Linked DNA regions of Lonchura striata. The protein of the gene in region 2 purifies or fractionates together with the protein of the main gene of each other region. This does not show direct contact. Links are inferred from orthologs where the notes say so. Each region holds a gene or a part of one and is shown on either strand. Other genes may lie near its edges.

Region 1 (8,018 bases), on a different chromosome or scaffold from region 2:
GAGATATAAAAAAATCTTTGGATGTCCCAACAGGACATGAGGAGTTCAGAAGAAGTTTTGGGGTCTCCCAGTGAGAAATGAGGAGGTTCTAGAGAGGTTTGGGGGTCTCCCAGTGGGAACTGAGGGTTCTGAGGGAGGTTTTGGGGTGCCCAGGGGGCTGGGGTCCCCCCTCACCAGGGTGATGTCCCGGGAGGCTGCGGCCGCGCTCATGTGCAGGCTGGGCTGGCGGATGGAGCTGCTGCAGTCCAGCGCCCGGGCAAACGTCCCCACGGCCCTGGGGGGGACATGGGGGGGTCAGCAGGGTCCCCCCAATCCCCCTGACCCCCCACCGACCCCCCCCGATCCCCCCTCACCGAGCCACCACCAGGAACTGGTCGATCTGCCGGTCCGTCAGGGGGTTGTCGGGGTCCCACACCTTCATCTCCATCTTCTGTTGGTTCCGGTTGTCCGACTCACCTGGGGGAGGTTTGGGGGGGCTGTCAGGATGACCCCCCCCCCATCCTGCACCCCCCAGAGCCCCCCCGAACCCCCCAAACCTTCGGCCAGACGCTCGGGGATCTCAGCTTGGTACTTGCAGCCCACCCTGATCTCGCCCTGGTCTGCCAGCAGCGTTTTCTGCACGGGGTCGAAGACCAGCGAGTAGAAGAAGCAATCCTGTGGGGAGGGGGCACATTGGGGGGGCTCAGCAGGGTGGGGAGACCCCCAAAATCCCCCCCCAGACCCATTTTGGGGCACACAGAACTCACCTCCTTCTCCAGGTACTGCCCCAGGATGTCGGTCTCGTTCAGCAGCGTCACGCTGCACTTCCCCCTGTAGGGGAAATTTGGGGAGAGGGTCACCCCAAAACCCCTCCCCACGCAGGGGAAGCCCCCCCAGAGGGTTTTCCCACCCCCCCAGAGCCGTTTCTGCCCCCGGTACCGGATGTGGGTGGCCGGGAGGGACTCGAACTGGCGAGACAGGAACAGCTCCCGGTGCTTGAGCTGGTGCCGCTGCTGCTCCGTCATCGGCGGCTGCTTCGACTCCTCCTCAAACTCGCCTGGGGGGGCCGCGGGGGGGTCACACCGGGGTGTTCCTCCCCCAAAATCCAGCTGGGAGGGCCCATTGTTCTCCCAAAACCCCCTCTGGGCTTTTGGCAACAGCCCCGAAGAGGGGGAGGGGAGGGAGGGGGAGGGGCCGTGGGAGGGGAGAGACCCCCCCCAGGAAGGGCAGGACCCCCCCAGTTTGATGGTTCAAAGGGGTCAGTCCTTTACCTGTAATTCCCCGCCCCAAAATTGGCAAAACCCCCCCAAAATTCAGCCCAAGAGAGGTGGAGAGAGACCGAGCAGCTCCAACCCCCCCTCAAATTTGGGGCGCCCCTTTGGGAGAGGTCACAGACCCCTCTGCAGCACCCCTAAATTACCCCAATAATGTCAAACCAGTTCTCCCCAAATTCTGGGAGCACCCCATTGTGATATGAGCCACAGACCGCCCTATAAACCCCCTAAAAACCCCTCAAATCCCCCACCCACCGGCATTACCCTTGGCCTGTCCTTTAAGGCTGCCCCCCAAATCCCCAAAACCTCCCCAAAACCCCCCAAAAGCCCCCCACTCACGGGCATTGCTGTCAGCCAGGCTGTTGAGGCTGCTGGAGATGTCACGCCGTCGGAACAGACAAACCACCTTGGCCTCCACGTTGCCATTGGCCGTCTGGGGGGGCACAGGGGGTCAGTGGGGTCCCCTGGGCTTGGGGACCCCCTCCCCAGGCTTGGAGACCCCCCTGAGGAACAGGGCAGGGGTCTCACCTTGTTGAGCTCCTCGATGCGCCGCACCAGGTAGGGGTTGCTGGAGGAGTTCTCGAAGTAGACGTAATCTGGGGAAAAATAGGGAGCAAAAATTGGGGGGTCACGAGGGCAGCCCCACCCCCCAAAAATCCTTTTTCTCAAACTTGTCAGGATTGTTCTTAGTTCCACCCAAATCCCCAAAATCCAGGGGGTTTTTGCAGCCAGATGTTCCCCTCATGGGAACGGGGTTTGTTACCCCACAGGACCCCCCCTCATTTCCCCCCCTCAGCCCCCCACTACAGACCAGAGGTCCCCCCCTGGCACAGACCTTCCCTCACAAATGAGGGTGGAGGACACCCCCCAAAAAAATCTCGGGTTCCCTTCTCATCAGAGACCACCCCCCTTTTTTCTTTAGATTTTTTTTTTTTTTTTTTTTTTGGGGGGGGGAGCCGTCTCCCACCTCCACGCCTCAGAATTTGGGGTCCCAAAGGAGCACACCCCTTAAAGAACCCTCCCCATTTCTGGCACCTCCTTTTCCTCACAGACTCCCAAGTTCCCTCACGAACACCCCAAATCCCCTCAGGGACCTCCTTAACCCCCTCACGGGACCCTTTCCTCTTCAGGACCCCCCCCGCCCCTAAATCCTCTCCCTCCAAATTCCCGCACGGGACCTCCCCCCCCACCGCCTATTGCCTCACAAGACACCCCCGCTGTTTCCGGGACCCCCAAATTTCCTCACAAGACCCTCTCCCCCTTTCCGGAACCCCCAAATCCCCTCACTGACCACCCCCCACTCCCCTCACGCTTGCCCCTTTCCAGGACCCCTCACGGACCCCCCCCCAATTCCCCTCACGACCCTTCCCGCGCCTCACGGAACCCCCAAATCCCCTCACAGACAACCCCCCCCGCCCTTTTCCCACTCCCCTCACGCCTCCCCCTTACCTCACGGACCCCCCCCCCCCCCAAAATCCCCTCACGGACCCCCCCAAACCCCCCCCCACACTCCGCTTTCCGGGACCCCCAAATCCCCTCAGGGCCCCCCCCAGAGCCCCTCCTGGAGGTCCCTGCCCGCGGCCCCCGGCCCGCTCACCGCCGACGCGGTACATGTTGGCCGCCATGGCCGCTCGCTCGGCCGCGCTACCCCCGGGCCCGGCCCCGGCCGCGCTTCATCGCCGCTCCCGCCGCCTCCGCGCCGGCACGGCCGGTTCGGAGCCCTTCGGGCACCTCCGGAGACGTTCGGCAACCTCCGGCAAGACCTCTCGGGCACCTCCGGAGAGGGTTTGGGCAACTCCGGAGAGACTCGGGTATTGCCGGATGCGTTCGGGCACCTCCGGCACGGGTTCGGCGCCGCCTCGGGCGCTTCCGGAGAGACCTCGGCGCTTTTCGGGAAAGCCTCGGCTTGGCCTCGGCTCTCTCCGGCACTCCTCGCCTCAACCTCGGCTCTTTCCGTAACGCGCTCGGCGAGTTCCGCCAGAACCGGAAAGGCGCCGAGGGCGGGCACGGAGGAAGAACCCGCGGCGCTTCCGGGAAGCGGCGGCGATCCCGGAGGAAACGGCGGGGTCCTACCCTGACCCCAAGGCTTTTATTGACGCCTCTCACAGTGCAGCGCGAAAACGCGGCGGGGGGGGAAAGCTTTCCACCAAACCCCGAGCCGCTCTTTGGTCCCAGGAAGGGGGGAAAGGGGGAAGAGGAAGCAGCGAGGAGGAGGAGGAGGAGGAAGGCGCGGGGCTCAGGCGCTGTCCCCGGGCAGCACCCGCCACTGGAAGACGCTGGTGTCCTTCCCGCCCAGCGACACCAGGTGTCCGTCGTCGTGCGTGAAGCGCACGTTGGTCACGTGGCTGCCGTGCCCGCCGTACACGTGACTGGGAGCCTGTGAGGGAGGGGGCGACACGTGACTGCGGGGTCACGTGGATACAGCCCCCCCCCCCCCCCCGCAAACGGGGGGGGACCCCCGAAATTGGGGTCTGACCCCCCCCCCCATACCCCTAAATTGGGGTGTGGGACCCCCCACCCCGATCCCCTCAAACTGGGGTCTGGGACCCTCCCGAGCCCAAAAATTTGGGGTCTGGAACCACCCCACGACCCCTCAAATTGGGGTCTGGACCCCCCCCCATACCCCTAAATTGGGGTGTGGGACCCCCCACCCCGATCCCCTCAAATTGGGGTCTGGGACCCTCCCGAGCCCAAAAATTTGGGGTCTGGAACCACCCCACGACCCCTCACATTGGGGTCTGGACCCCCCCCATACCCCTAAATTGGGGTGTGGGACCCCCACCCCTCACCCCGATCCCCTCATCCCCTCAAATTGGGGTCTGGGACCCTCCCGAGCCCAAAAATTTGGGGTCTGGAACCACCCCCACAACCCCTCAAATTGGGGTCTGGACCCCCCCCCCATACCCCTAAATTGGGGTGTGGGACCCCCCAAAACACCCAGTGGGTTTGGAGCCCCCAAATTTGGGGTATGGGACCTTCCTGAGCCCAAAAATTTGTGGTCTGGACCCCCCCCAGCCTCTCAAATTGGGGTCTGGGACTCTCCCGAGCCCAAAAATCTGGGATTTGGACCCCCCCCCAAATCCCCCCAGAACAGCCAGTCCAGGGGTTGGGATCGCCAACCCACCGGCAGTGAGTCTGGACCCTCCTGACCCCCCAAACTGGGGTCTGGGACCCCCAAACTGGACTCTGGGACCCTTCCCCAGCCCCCCCGAAACCCCCCCAGAGCCCGGTGCCCACCTTGGCCCGGGCACAGGGGTACTGGAACAGGTGAACCTTGCAGAAGTCGTCGGCCACGGCCACCACGCGCTCGTGGTGCGAGCGGCACAGCGAGTTGATGTCGGTGCCGTCCGAGCCGTCCGGCCACACCCCTGCGCCGATGTCGGGGGTCAGGGGGACCCCAAAAACCCCCAAATACCCCTCTAGAAACACGCAAAGCTCTCGGGGAGCTGGGGACCCCAAAAACATCCACAAATACCCCGCTAGAAACACCACAAGGGCTTGGGGAGCTGGGCAACCCAAAAAAAACCCCCCAAATATCCCGTTAGAAGTACCCAAAGGGCTCAGGGAACTGGGGGACCCCAAAAAAAAAAAAACCATTAGAACCTTCTGAAGCTCTCAGGGAGCTGGGGGACTCCAAAAAAACCCCAAATACCCTGTCAGAAACACCCAAAGCTCTCGGGGAACTGGGGATCACCCCAAAACAACCCCAAATACTCTGCCAGAACCACCCCGAGGGTTCGGAGAGCTGGGGGACCCTAAAAGAAACCCAAATACTCCTGACAGCACCCCCTGAACCACTTGGGGAGATGGGGAACCCCCCCAAACCCCCCCTGAGACCCCCCGAGCCCCCAGACCCACCGAAGACGTGGAAGCCCAGCACGCAGGTGTAGGAGGCCCATTCCCGGTCCCGGCTCTCGAAGCGGTTCCGCAGCAATTTGCAGCCCCCGGCCACGTCCCCTGGAGGGGGGAGAGACCCCCAAAATCTGGGCTGGGGGGGGCTTGGAGAGTTCACCCCGAAATTTGGGGTGGGGGGTAGTGAAAGGCACCCAAAATTTGGGAGGAGGAGGAGGGAGGGAAAAGGGAAAGCCCCCCCAAAAGCTGGGGAGGGGAAGGGAAAAGAGACCCCCAAAATCTGGGGAGGGAAAATGACACCCCCCCAAAAAGAACCAGGGGAGGGGGACAGTGAGACCCCAAAGTCTGGGGGGTCCCGGTGGGGTCAGGGGGTTCCCCCCAGCTTTGGAGGTCCTGGCAGGGGCAGAAGGGTCCTGGAAAGATCTGGAAGGGCCAGGAAGGTTCAGGAAGGTCCTGGCAGGGCCAGGGGGTTCCCCCCAGCTCTGGGGGTCCCGGCAGGGTCAGGAGGGTCCCGGCAGGGTCATGGGGGTCTCGTCAGCCCCAGGGGGAGCCCCCCAAGCCCCCAGACTCACAGTAGAGGATCTCATAATCCCCTGAGTTGGACATGATGAACCGCCCGTCCTTGGACCAGTCCAGGTGGGTGATGAAACTCGAGTGACCCTGGGGGCAGCGGGGGGTGGGGGGGGTCGCTGGGGGTCCGGGGGGGTTTGGGGACCCCCCCCCAGCCCCCGCCAGCCCCCCAGCTCACGGTGCAGCGGCCGAAGCGGCTGAACTTGCGGCCGCCCTCGGCCACGCTGTAGATGTAGATGAAATTGTCGTGGGAGCCGATGGCCAGGAAGGTCCCGTCTGCAACGGGGGGGACGCGGGTTTGGGGGGGACACGGGGTTTGGGGGGGACACGGGGTTTGGGGGGGCATGGGCTTTGGGGGGGACACGGGGTTTGGGGGGGACACGGGGTTTGGGGGGACACGGGGTTTGGGGGGCATGGGGTTTGGGGGGACACGGGGTTTGGGGGGGACACGGGGTTTGGGGGGGACACGGGGTTGGGGGGGACACGGGGTTTGGGGGGACACGGGGTTTGGGGGGACACGGGGTTTGGGGGGGCAGGGGGTTTGGGGGGGACACAGGGTTTGGGGGGGCTTGGGGGGGACACGGGTTTGGGGGGACACAGGGTTTGGGGGGATTTGGGGGGACACGGGTTTGGGGGGAACATGGATTTGGGGGAGTTTGGGGGGACACGGATTTGGGGGGTTTGGGGGAACACAAGTCTGGGGGGGCCCCATGACCTGGGAGGGTTTGGGGGGGGGTTCCACACACTGGGGGGGGATTTGGGATAGTTTGGGGACAGGGAGGGATCAGGGACAGTTTGGGGACATTCTGGGGACAGGGAGGGATCAGGGACAGGCCAGAGACAGTTTTAGGACAATTTTGGGACAGGGAGGGGTCAGGGACAATCTGGGGACAGTCTGGGGACAGTTTGGGATCAGGGACAGGCCAAGGACAGTTTGGGGACAGTTTGGGCTGGCAGGGGACGCGGGGCTCACCCGGTGAGAAGCGAACCACCGAGAGCTGCTCGTTCCCGTCCGAGCCCCCGGCCAGGAGCTGCCGCGTGCCCGTGTCCAGCACCAGCCACCTGCGGGACGGGGACACGGGGACATGGGGGGACACGGGACATGGGGGGACACGGGACATGGGACACGGGGGGACACGGGGACATGGGGGGGACAGGGGGACATGGGGGGACACGGGACATGGGGGCGACAGGGGGACATGGGGGGACACGGGGACATGGGGGGGACATGGGACATGGGGGGACACGGGGACATGGGGGGGACACGGGACATGGGGGGACACGGGGGGACACGGGGACATGGGGGGGACACGGGGACATGGGGGGACACGGGGACATGGGGGGGACATGGGGGGACACGGGGACATGGGGGGGACACGGGGACATGGGGGGGACACGGGACATGGGGGGACACGGGGACATGGGGGGGACAGGGGGACATGGGGGGACACAGGGGGACACGGGGACATGGGGGGACACGGGGACATGGGGGGACACGGGGACATGGGGGGGACAGGGGGACATGGGGGGACACAGGGGGACACGGGGACATGGGGGGACACAGGACAGGGGGGGACACGGGGACATGGGGGTGACAGGGGGACATGGGGGGGACACGGGGACATGGGGGGGGACACGGGGACATGGGGGGACACGGGGACATGGGGGTGACAGGGGGACCATGGGCACTGTTCCCCTGTGTCCCCATCTCCCCCCGTGTCCCCTTGTCCCCCCATGTCCTTGTGTCCTTCCATGTCCCCCCATGTCCCCCCGTGTCCCCCTGTGTCCCCTCCTGTCCCCATGTCCCCCCGTGTCCCCCGGTGTCCCCCCGTGTCCCCCGGTGTCCCGGTCACTCACCGCCCGCTCAGCAGCCCCACGGCCACCACGTGTCCCCCGGGGTGGAAGTCGGCGCAGAGCCCGGTGTCCTGGGGGTGGGGAGGGGTCACGGGGGGTCCCCGGGACCCCCCCAGAGCCCCAAACCGGGGCTGCCGCCACCCCCCGCACCCCAAACCACCCCCAGCCCCAATTCGGGGGTCCCCAGCCCGGGTGTGCTCCTCGTCCCTTGTCCCCAGAGCACCCCCTGACCCCACAAACCGTGCTCCTGACCCATCCCCAAACGCCCCCTCCCCACTTTCAGGGGTCTTCACCCAGCCCCAGCCCCAGCTCCAGCCAGGGCGTGCTCCTGGTCCCTCCCCAGCCCTTCTGTACCCCCATTACAGACCCTAAGCCCCCGAAACCTCAATCCTGACCCCTCCGGGGTGTCCCCCTCCCCAGTTTTGGGGGTGGCCGCCCACCTCCAGCTCCAGGCTCCAGTTCCTGTCCCTTGTCCCCAGAACCCTGCAC
Region 2 (7,100 bases):
CCACGACTGAGATGGAGCAGGAGAGCCTTACAACTCTTCAGAAGAATGATACTTTTTTCTTTAGCAAAATGGGTAACAATTGAAAATAAAGGTGGTCAAGAGCAAGCAAGTATCTAAGGCACACAGTAATTACAAGGAAAGAACAGACTGCCGTTGTCCAAACAGCCAGCTGACGCTTCTCAAAAACAGTTCCCAGTTTTCTCTTTTGTAATAATACTGTTTAAAAAAAAAGGCTTGTTTTCTTGTTCTGAAGATATCCATCAGTTGTGACATGTTTTATAATCCTGGCATAAGAAAACAAAACAGGCTCCCAGGAGAGCTGCAATTACACAGTGTCAGAAAGCTACCTGAAGTCACTCACAGCACTAGCTTTAGACAGAACTTTCCAAGAAACAATCACAGATATTTAACAGACAGACAACACCACTCAGCATCAAACTACTTTCAATCTCCTAAAATCCTCTTAGACAGAACATTCAGACTGGAGCCTCGTGCCTGAAGGCACAGATTCCTGCACAAACTTTACTCACTTACTTGCTGTTATCTGCAGATGCTGACCATAAGGATGCCATTACATTAACACTTACAGAGCGATTTCTGAAGAATGTTTTAACAATCCCTCTCAGAAAGAACCACGTAGGCATAATAAGCCTCTGCTCAAAATTAACACATTGTGGAGCACCTGCTAAGCAACGTTGTAGCAAAAATAACCTAGAGCATGTGTAAGAAAAAGAGAGCCTTATGTTCAAGACCGACCCATTACACTATGAGAAAGGTTGAACGCTTTAGTTAATGGGTCAGATTTCACTGGTGTGCAGTGGAGAAAACAGGTTTAAAAGACACCGTATTTCTCCACTCCTTCATAGCAGAGCTCTCCAAATGGTTCTTCCCCCCACAGTGGGCAGAAACAAAGCTACCATCATTAAACTCTCAGTCTTTAAAGTGACTAAGGCAATGGAGCAATTGCCTAGAACTACCTGCAACACATTTAGCACAAAAGGGACAGGACAGAGAAGCATTTATATCCTAAGCACTCTGTGCAACTCCCTTCAGCTTGTAAGCTTCAGCAAAAGGTAAGAGTTCGATGGCATGTGGCAAAACAGTAAGAAGGAGGAAAACAGTAGATTTCTCAGAGAAATCTTAAAACAGTAGATTTTTGAGAGAAGCATCAGACACTTAGAGACTCTTTCATTGTCCTATGCACCATTTAATCAGAAAACACACCACAAAAATTCAGTTAAATTCCGTTATATTAAAAACAGGGCAAATCAAGAATCTTCTCTTTCCTACACGTAAGGCAAAGCTGCAGAAGTGGAAGAGTGGTATTGGTGCAGACTCAGTGTCATTAAGAAGCTTAAGACAATAACTTGAAAAAAAAACCCAACTGTTCAGCTACCTCTGGAGCATCGATGTCTTGCACTGGTGAGTCACCATCATCATCGCTGCCTTTCCTCTTTCTTCTATTTCTCACACTCTGAATTAGATTTTTGTGGAAGTCACAAATGTACAGATGTCTTGCCTACAAGAATAAAACGGTATCTTTCAATTAAACCCACGTAGTGTATCTCCCAGACTGAAGTGCACGTAGACAGACAACCCTTAAGCACTCACAGCCACATTAACTGGGCTGAGGGAGCTTTTCCACTGGTTTATTGTAAATGGAGAGCGAGCTGCGCTGCGGCTCCCCGCCACCGGCTGGGCCCCGAGCTCGCTGAAATGCTGCAATGGGCCGATGCAGCAGTGCCAGGCTGTGGAGCCACGCAGCACAGCCCTCCCTCCTTCCCTCCCTCCGGCCGCGCATCGCACCGCGGGGGCCGGGCGGCACGCTAACAAAAAACAAGCTCGCAGCTTTCTCTGCGGGGCTAAGAGACGGCTCTCGTTTCCCCAGCTATATCCTCCCCTCCTTGTTTTACTTCCGCTACCCGGCACGGTCACGCAACACACTTATTTTTACTTTCTTTCTTTTTAACAAGTTTCCCACTCGTGGGGCTCTGCACGCTTTGGGAGATCCGGGCGCTGCCAGCCCGGAACGCCCCGGTCCGCGTGCTTTCAGGGCGAACGGGAGCGCGGGGCAGCGTGGGGCACCGGGCTGCAGCGTGGGGCACCGGGCCGGGTCTCTCGGGGCGCACGCAGCCCCGGCCCGGGGCGCTCCCGCCGGCAGCTCCACGCTGCAGCCCGTCTCGCCCTTCCGCGGCACCCGGCGAGGCGGGCGCTCTCCGGGCTCCCGGGCGAAGCACCGCGCTGGAAGGCGGCCGGCCCCGGCCCGGCCCGGCCCGGCCGCGCGGGGCCCGATGGCTGCCGAGCGGGAGATAAAGCGGCACCGGAGACGTGCGGCGCTGCAACACGAGGCGGGGCGGCGAGCGCGGCCCTCGCCAGCAACACAAACTAGCGCGCCGGGAGCCATGCAGGCTCCGCTCCGCTCCGGCGGGCAGCGGCGCTTCCCGGCCACGCTTACCCCCGGCTCCGGCTACAGGGGGGCACACGCAGTCGATGCCCAGGCTCTTGGGGTACAGGGGACCTCAGGAGCAGGCAGGAAAGGCGGGCGCTGCCCCCCGCCCGGAGGGACTTTCAGGCAGCGCTCCTGCCGCGCCAGCCCAACTCGGCCGTGCTACGGAAAAGAGGTGGGAAGGGGGAACGAACGCTTCCCCGCCGCCACGCTCCCCTCCTTCCCCACCAAACTTGAGGAAAAGTCCCCCAGCCAGCTAAGACACAGATGCGGCGACCTACCGGCCGCTTTTGTCCGCCCGCCCCGCCGGCAGCCCTGGCGCGTCCTCCCCTCGCGGACTTACGCTCTTGTCCAGCTCGATCTTCACCTTCTTCTGTGAAATGCTCTTCTGGATGCGCTTGCTGAAGCTGGCGTTGCCGGCGGCGCGGCCGCATCGCTCCCCCTCCTCCCGCAGGCAGCACAGCTGCCCGGCCCCGGGGCCGCCCGCGCACCCGCCGCCCGCCGAGCCCGCGGCGGCGGCGGCCGGACCCAGCCCCGGCGGCGCCGGCGGCGGCGGCACCTCCACGGCGGAGCCCGCAGCGCCCACCGCCGCCGCGGCGGCGGGGTCTGCCCCGCGCTGGGTCACCTCCTCGGGGGCGAAGCCGTTCATGCCCGGCGCCACCGCCGCCGCCGGCGGGATCCCGCCCCGCACCAAACTTCCCCGGCGAGGCGCCGCGGCCCGGCGGGGGGCTCCCCCGCTCCCTGCCCGCCTCCCTTCGGCGGCGGCACCGGGGCGCAAGTCCGCCCTCGAGGGCGGTCAGCCCACGCGTCGCGGGAAGGACTCTCCCTGCCAGCAGCCGCCAGCCGAGCACCGCGACTACCGGAGCAGCGGCGGCAGAGCCCCGCGGGCCGCCCCACTTCCTCCTTCCCCCCCTGTCATGTGGAGACTCTTCAGCTGTTTCCTATGTAACAACAGCAACCTGCCGCCCCGCCCCGCCCGCCCGCCGCGCATGCCGGCTGCCGCGCGCGGCCCCACGGGAAGCGCAGTTCCTGCCCGGCCGCCGCCGCACCGCGCGGCGGGAGCGCGGCCGAGGCAGCGGCGGGGGCAGCATTCGCTGCCGCAGCCGCTTCTTTTTCCCGCGCCGCGCTCCGCTGCCTTTTCATCCCGTCTGCAGGCTGGGCCCGCTGCAAAGCCCCGTGCGTCAGTCTCTCTTTTTCCCCCTTCCCGCGCCTCCCCGGCGGCTCCGCCGTGGGATGTGGAAGGGCGGCCGCGGAGAGTGTCACGGGTCGGAGCTGCCGCCGGCACGACTGAGCTCGTACCCGCGCTCCTACCGACGCGGGCCCGGTGGCCTCCGCCGCCGGCTCGCTGTGCCGCAGCGGCTCCCCCCGTTCACTTGCTCTCGCTCTAGTGTTCTAGCCGAAGCCGGCACTGCTCCGGCTGTTGGTTCCGGATTGTCTGTCTCGTGCCTTCCCTCTCGACATTTCTGCCCTGCCTCGCTTCCTACTTTCCGCCTACTGTCGGCTACGGCTGGCAGCGGCTCCCGGAGAGGGCGGGCGGGCTCTGTCCGAGCGCTCCTGCCCCTCCGCCTGCGGGAGGCAGCTCCCCGGGAGCCGCCGCGCAGCCGCTGGCTCTGCGGCTCTCAGCAGAAAACAAACGGAGCTCCGGCCTTTGTTAGGGCTGATCTTACAACACACGTAGTCAGGGCTCCGTCCTGCGTTCCTGTAGCAAAGCCTTTTGAAGACAAAGGCGACGTACAGTGCGAGTTTCTAGTTTTGTCATTTAAAAAGACATTTTGTTAGTAAAGGTGACTGTAGCAACAGGAAAGCCTTGAGAATGCAGAATTATTTTCGCTAATGATGAACCAAGACCTTGCTGTGCACACGGCTGGGTAAAATAGACACTCTGTGAATACTTGACAAAAGCAGGTATTTTTAGTTTTGAGGCTTTACAAAGCTACACAAGAGATGCGTTGGCATTAAATCATTTAACAATTCAGCTGTTGACAGCAGAGTGGCAAAAGCAGCAAGCTCTGATCTACTGTCTTTTCAAGCACATTCAAAGGAGGCACAAGGAAGGGAGAGGTTTTGCTTTCCCTTTGAACTACCGCAGATATTCCTTTAAATCTCAGAAACGGCATTTGAGCTGAGCGTGCTCAAAGCGCAATGATTTAATCACTGAAATATTTGACCGTATCGCTTGCTGTGCGTTTCCAGCTTGAAGGAGTAGCAGGGAGGCTGGTGAATAATTCAAGGAGACACAGATCCTGCGTAAGTCAAAGTTCTGCGTGAGCCGAGAACGCGATTATAGAGCAGTTTCAGTTTGTGCTGCAGATGGCTCCTTAATCTGATTGCGTAACCGGGTATTAGAGAATAAGGGCTGGTCCCACTGTCGCAACCGAATGAAGGATACAGAAACTGAAGCTACCCTGAGCACAGGCACAGCAGCTCTCCGAGGCACGTTTCGGTGATTAGCGAGGTTCGGAATAGGAGGAGAGTTGGAAAAAATACTGAACTCTGCTTTGTTATCAGCCAAGCTGAAGACTAGGTTTAATTCCATGCTCTGCTGCTGAACAATCTCAGGCAGCAAAGGTTTGACTCACTTTTTTAGTTTCTTGTGATTTCAAACTTTTGAAATCTGTAGTAATATTAAGATAAAAAAGAACAAAACCCCCAATATCATAGCAGAAGCTAAAATCTGGGAAAAGTGGGACAAAGGTGAGTTCCAGGAATTCTTCAGTGAAAATCTGGGTCATGAATAGCAATTTCTAGACTCTTGGACTATGTCTTCTGAGGTCCCTTTTTATTTATTTATTTATTTGTTTGTTTTTAAAATTTCAGATGGATTTGACCTTACTATGAGCATAAAATATTATGACTGGCTCTGGCTGCTGTTGTTTGGTTTGATGGAAAGATCACGTGTGCATTTTAAATGTTTCTGATCCTCTTTGAGCAGTTAAAAGCCTGACTATGTTACCCAGACGTGCTTGCCAAGATGCTAATTTATAAGCGTAATTTCGAGTAAAGTAGTACCATAGTTTCATGATTAGGTCATGATAAGAGAGTCGTGGGACTTAGAAAGATGGTTCTGTTTCTGCTGTAAGCTGCTCGTTTTCGCACCTGTGCCCTGTGCCTCTTTGTGCCCATAAAAATATTGCTGTGGCTGCACAGCAAACTGTATTGGGTTACAACTAAGCTAGCAACAAGAAAAATTGTTTAGATTTAATCCTGACCTGTTTTACCACTCAGTTGCAAGATGCCCCAGCACCCGGGATGGTGCAGTAGAAGGGCAGCACTCTGACAGGGGATGACCACCTCATTTGGTATGAACGCCTGCTTACAGTAACAAAGAAATCATGTCACTTTTAATCTTGCATCACACGTGGGATGAAAAATACAAAGAACTGCAGCTACATGGGTTTATCAGAAAGTATGAAGCTTACTACAAAACAGATTTACAAACTTTCATGAAGCTTGGGATACATTAAATAAAAAGCAAAATCATTGTGGAGTATGTTGTCTAAAATTTAAGTTTTTTAATACAAACTCTAGTACTGGGTACTAAATAAAGCATGTATGGGGACATATTTTAAATAAGCATAAAAACATGCAGGATTGCAACCATATACTGATTAAACTTCAAAAATTAAAACAGTTCAAAGGAAACAGCAGCTCCAAACCAACTGCCCTGTACATGATGTGTCACTAGTACTTGCAGCAGAGCTGAGTAGTACAGAAGGTAGCAGTAATCTATATCCCTTGGGCCTACCAAGAACACAGCATGGATGACTTGTGACATGCAGAAAGAACAGGAGCTACAGCATCCCAAAAAGTCTGAATTCACAGCTCCCAGGCTCTGAAGTCAGCAGGACTCAGTGGCCCCTCCTGGCACTGAGGCAGGCCAAGCACATCTTTCTAAGTGGTGGAAGCCCAGCAGCTTGTTCTTCTCTGAGATGCCATATGTCCCAGCTCCTGTTAGCTTTTGACTGATGTGTTTTGTAATTTGAGAGAGAAGAATGATAATCAGATACATCACCTTGGATATATTGAAAGCACATTGCAAATTACTAGTAATTGCATTACTAGTAATCAATCCTGGAAGATAAATGTTGCTCTTGCCACTTTGTATGCATTTCCATGGCATAAAGTTCAGCTGGGGAGGATGATTCTCTTCCCCAGCAGGTACCTTTCACTTGAAGTCCAAGAGTACATTAGTGCACTTGTGTTCAGCACCTGAAATTATCCTCTTAGCAAAAGGAATAATAAGGAAAACTATTGGTAGGCATTTTTTCTCAGCAAATACACATTTTATTTGTTATATATTGTAACTACTTCAGTGAAAAAAAATTCTTTTAAAACATTTGAAAAATTCTGCAAATTCCACCACTCACTCTGGTCATTTTAATAAAAAAGCAACCTAATCTATAAGCAAGCATTCATGGGCTGTGATATAAAGAACAGTGGCCAAATCTTCCTTACCAGAAATAAGTGCTATTAATTTTATCTTTCCTTTTACTTTTTTCTGATTTTTTTAATACCTCATTTTCCTTTCCCACTCCAGCACCACCTAACCTCCTACTGCTTGTTGCTCTGCTTCCAATTTATTGTCCAAATTTGTTAAAGCATAGACCCAAAGCTTAGGAATATTGGAACTTGCCTACAGTTTTTTTTTTTTTTT

What was found. The genes of interacting proteins can lie anywhere in the genome.
Region 1: the proteins of SAP30 (region 2) and MTA2 purify together in Homo sapiens (affinity purification with mass spectrometry; 3 studies listed by BioGRID, with this or other methods). This does not show direct contact. The link is inferred for Lonchura striata from reciprocal best matches to the Homo sapiens genes SAP30 and MTA2.

Annotation. Positions count from the first base shown.
Region 1 is NC_134638.1:417,189-425,206, forward strand, and holds the start of MTA2 (metastasis-associated protein MTA2), read right to left. Parts: upstream 3,017-8,018; 5' UTR 2,879-3,016; coding exon 2,851-2,878; intron 1,850-2,850; coding exon 1,782-1,849; intron 1,687-1,781; coding exon 1,593-1,686; intron 1,037-1,592; coding exon 919-1,036; intron 811-918; coding exon 747-810; intron 655-746; coding exon 537-654; intron 457-536; coding exon 354-456; intron 275-353; coding exon 175-274; intron 1-174. UniProt on the Homo sapiens protein: May function as a transcriptional coregulator. Acts as a component of the histone deacetylase NuRD complex which participates in the remodeling of chromatin.
Region 2 is NC_134606.1:36,160,038-36,167,137, forward strand, and holds the start of SAP30 (histone deacetylase complex subunit SAP30), read right to left. Parts: upstream 3,096-7,100; coding exon 2,790-3,095; intron 1,520-2,789; coding exon 1,397-1,519; intron 1-1,396. UniProt on the Homo sapiens protein: Involved in the functional recruitment of the Sin3-histone deacetylase complex (HDAC) to a specific subset of N-CoR corepressor complexes. Capable of transcription repression by N-CoR.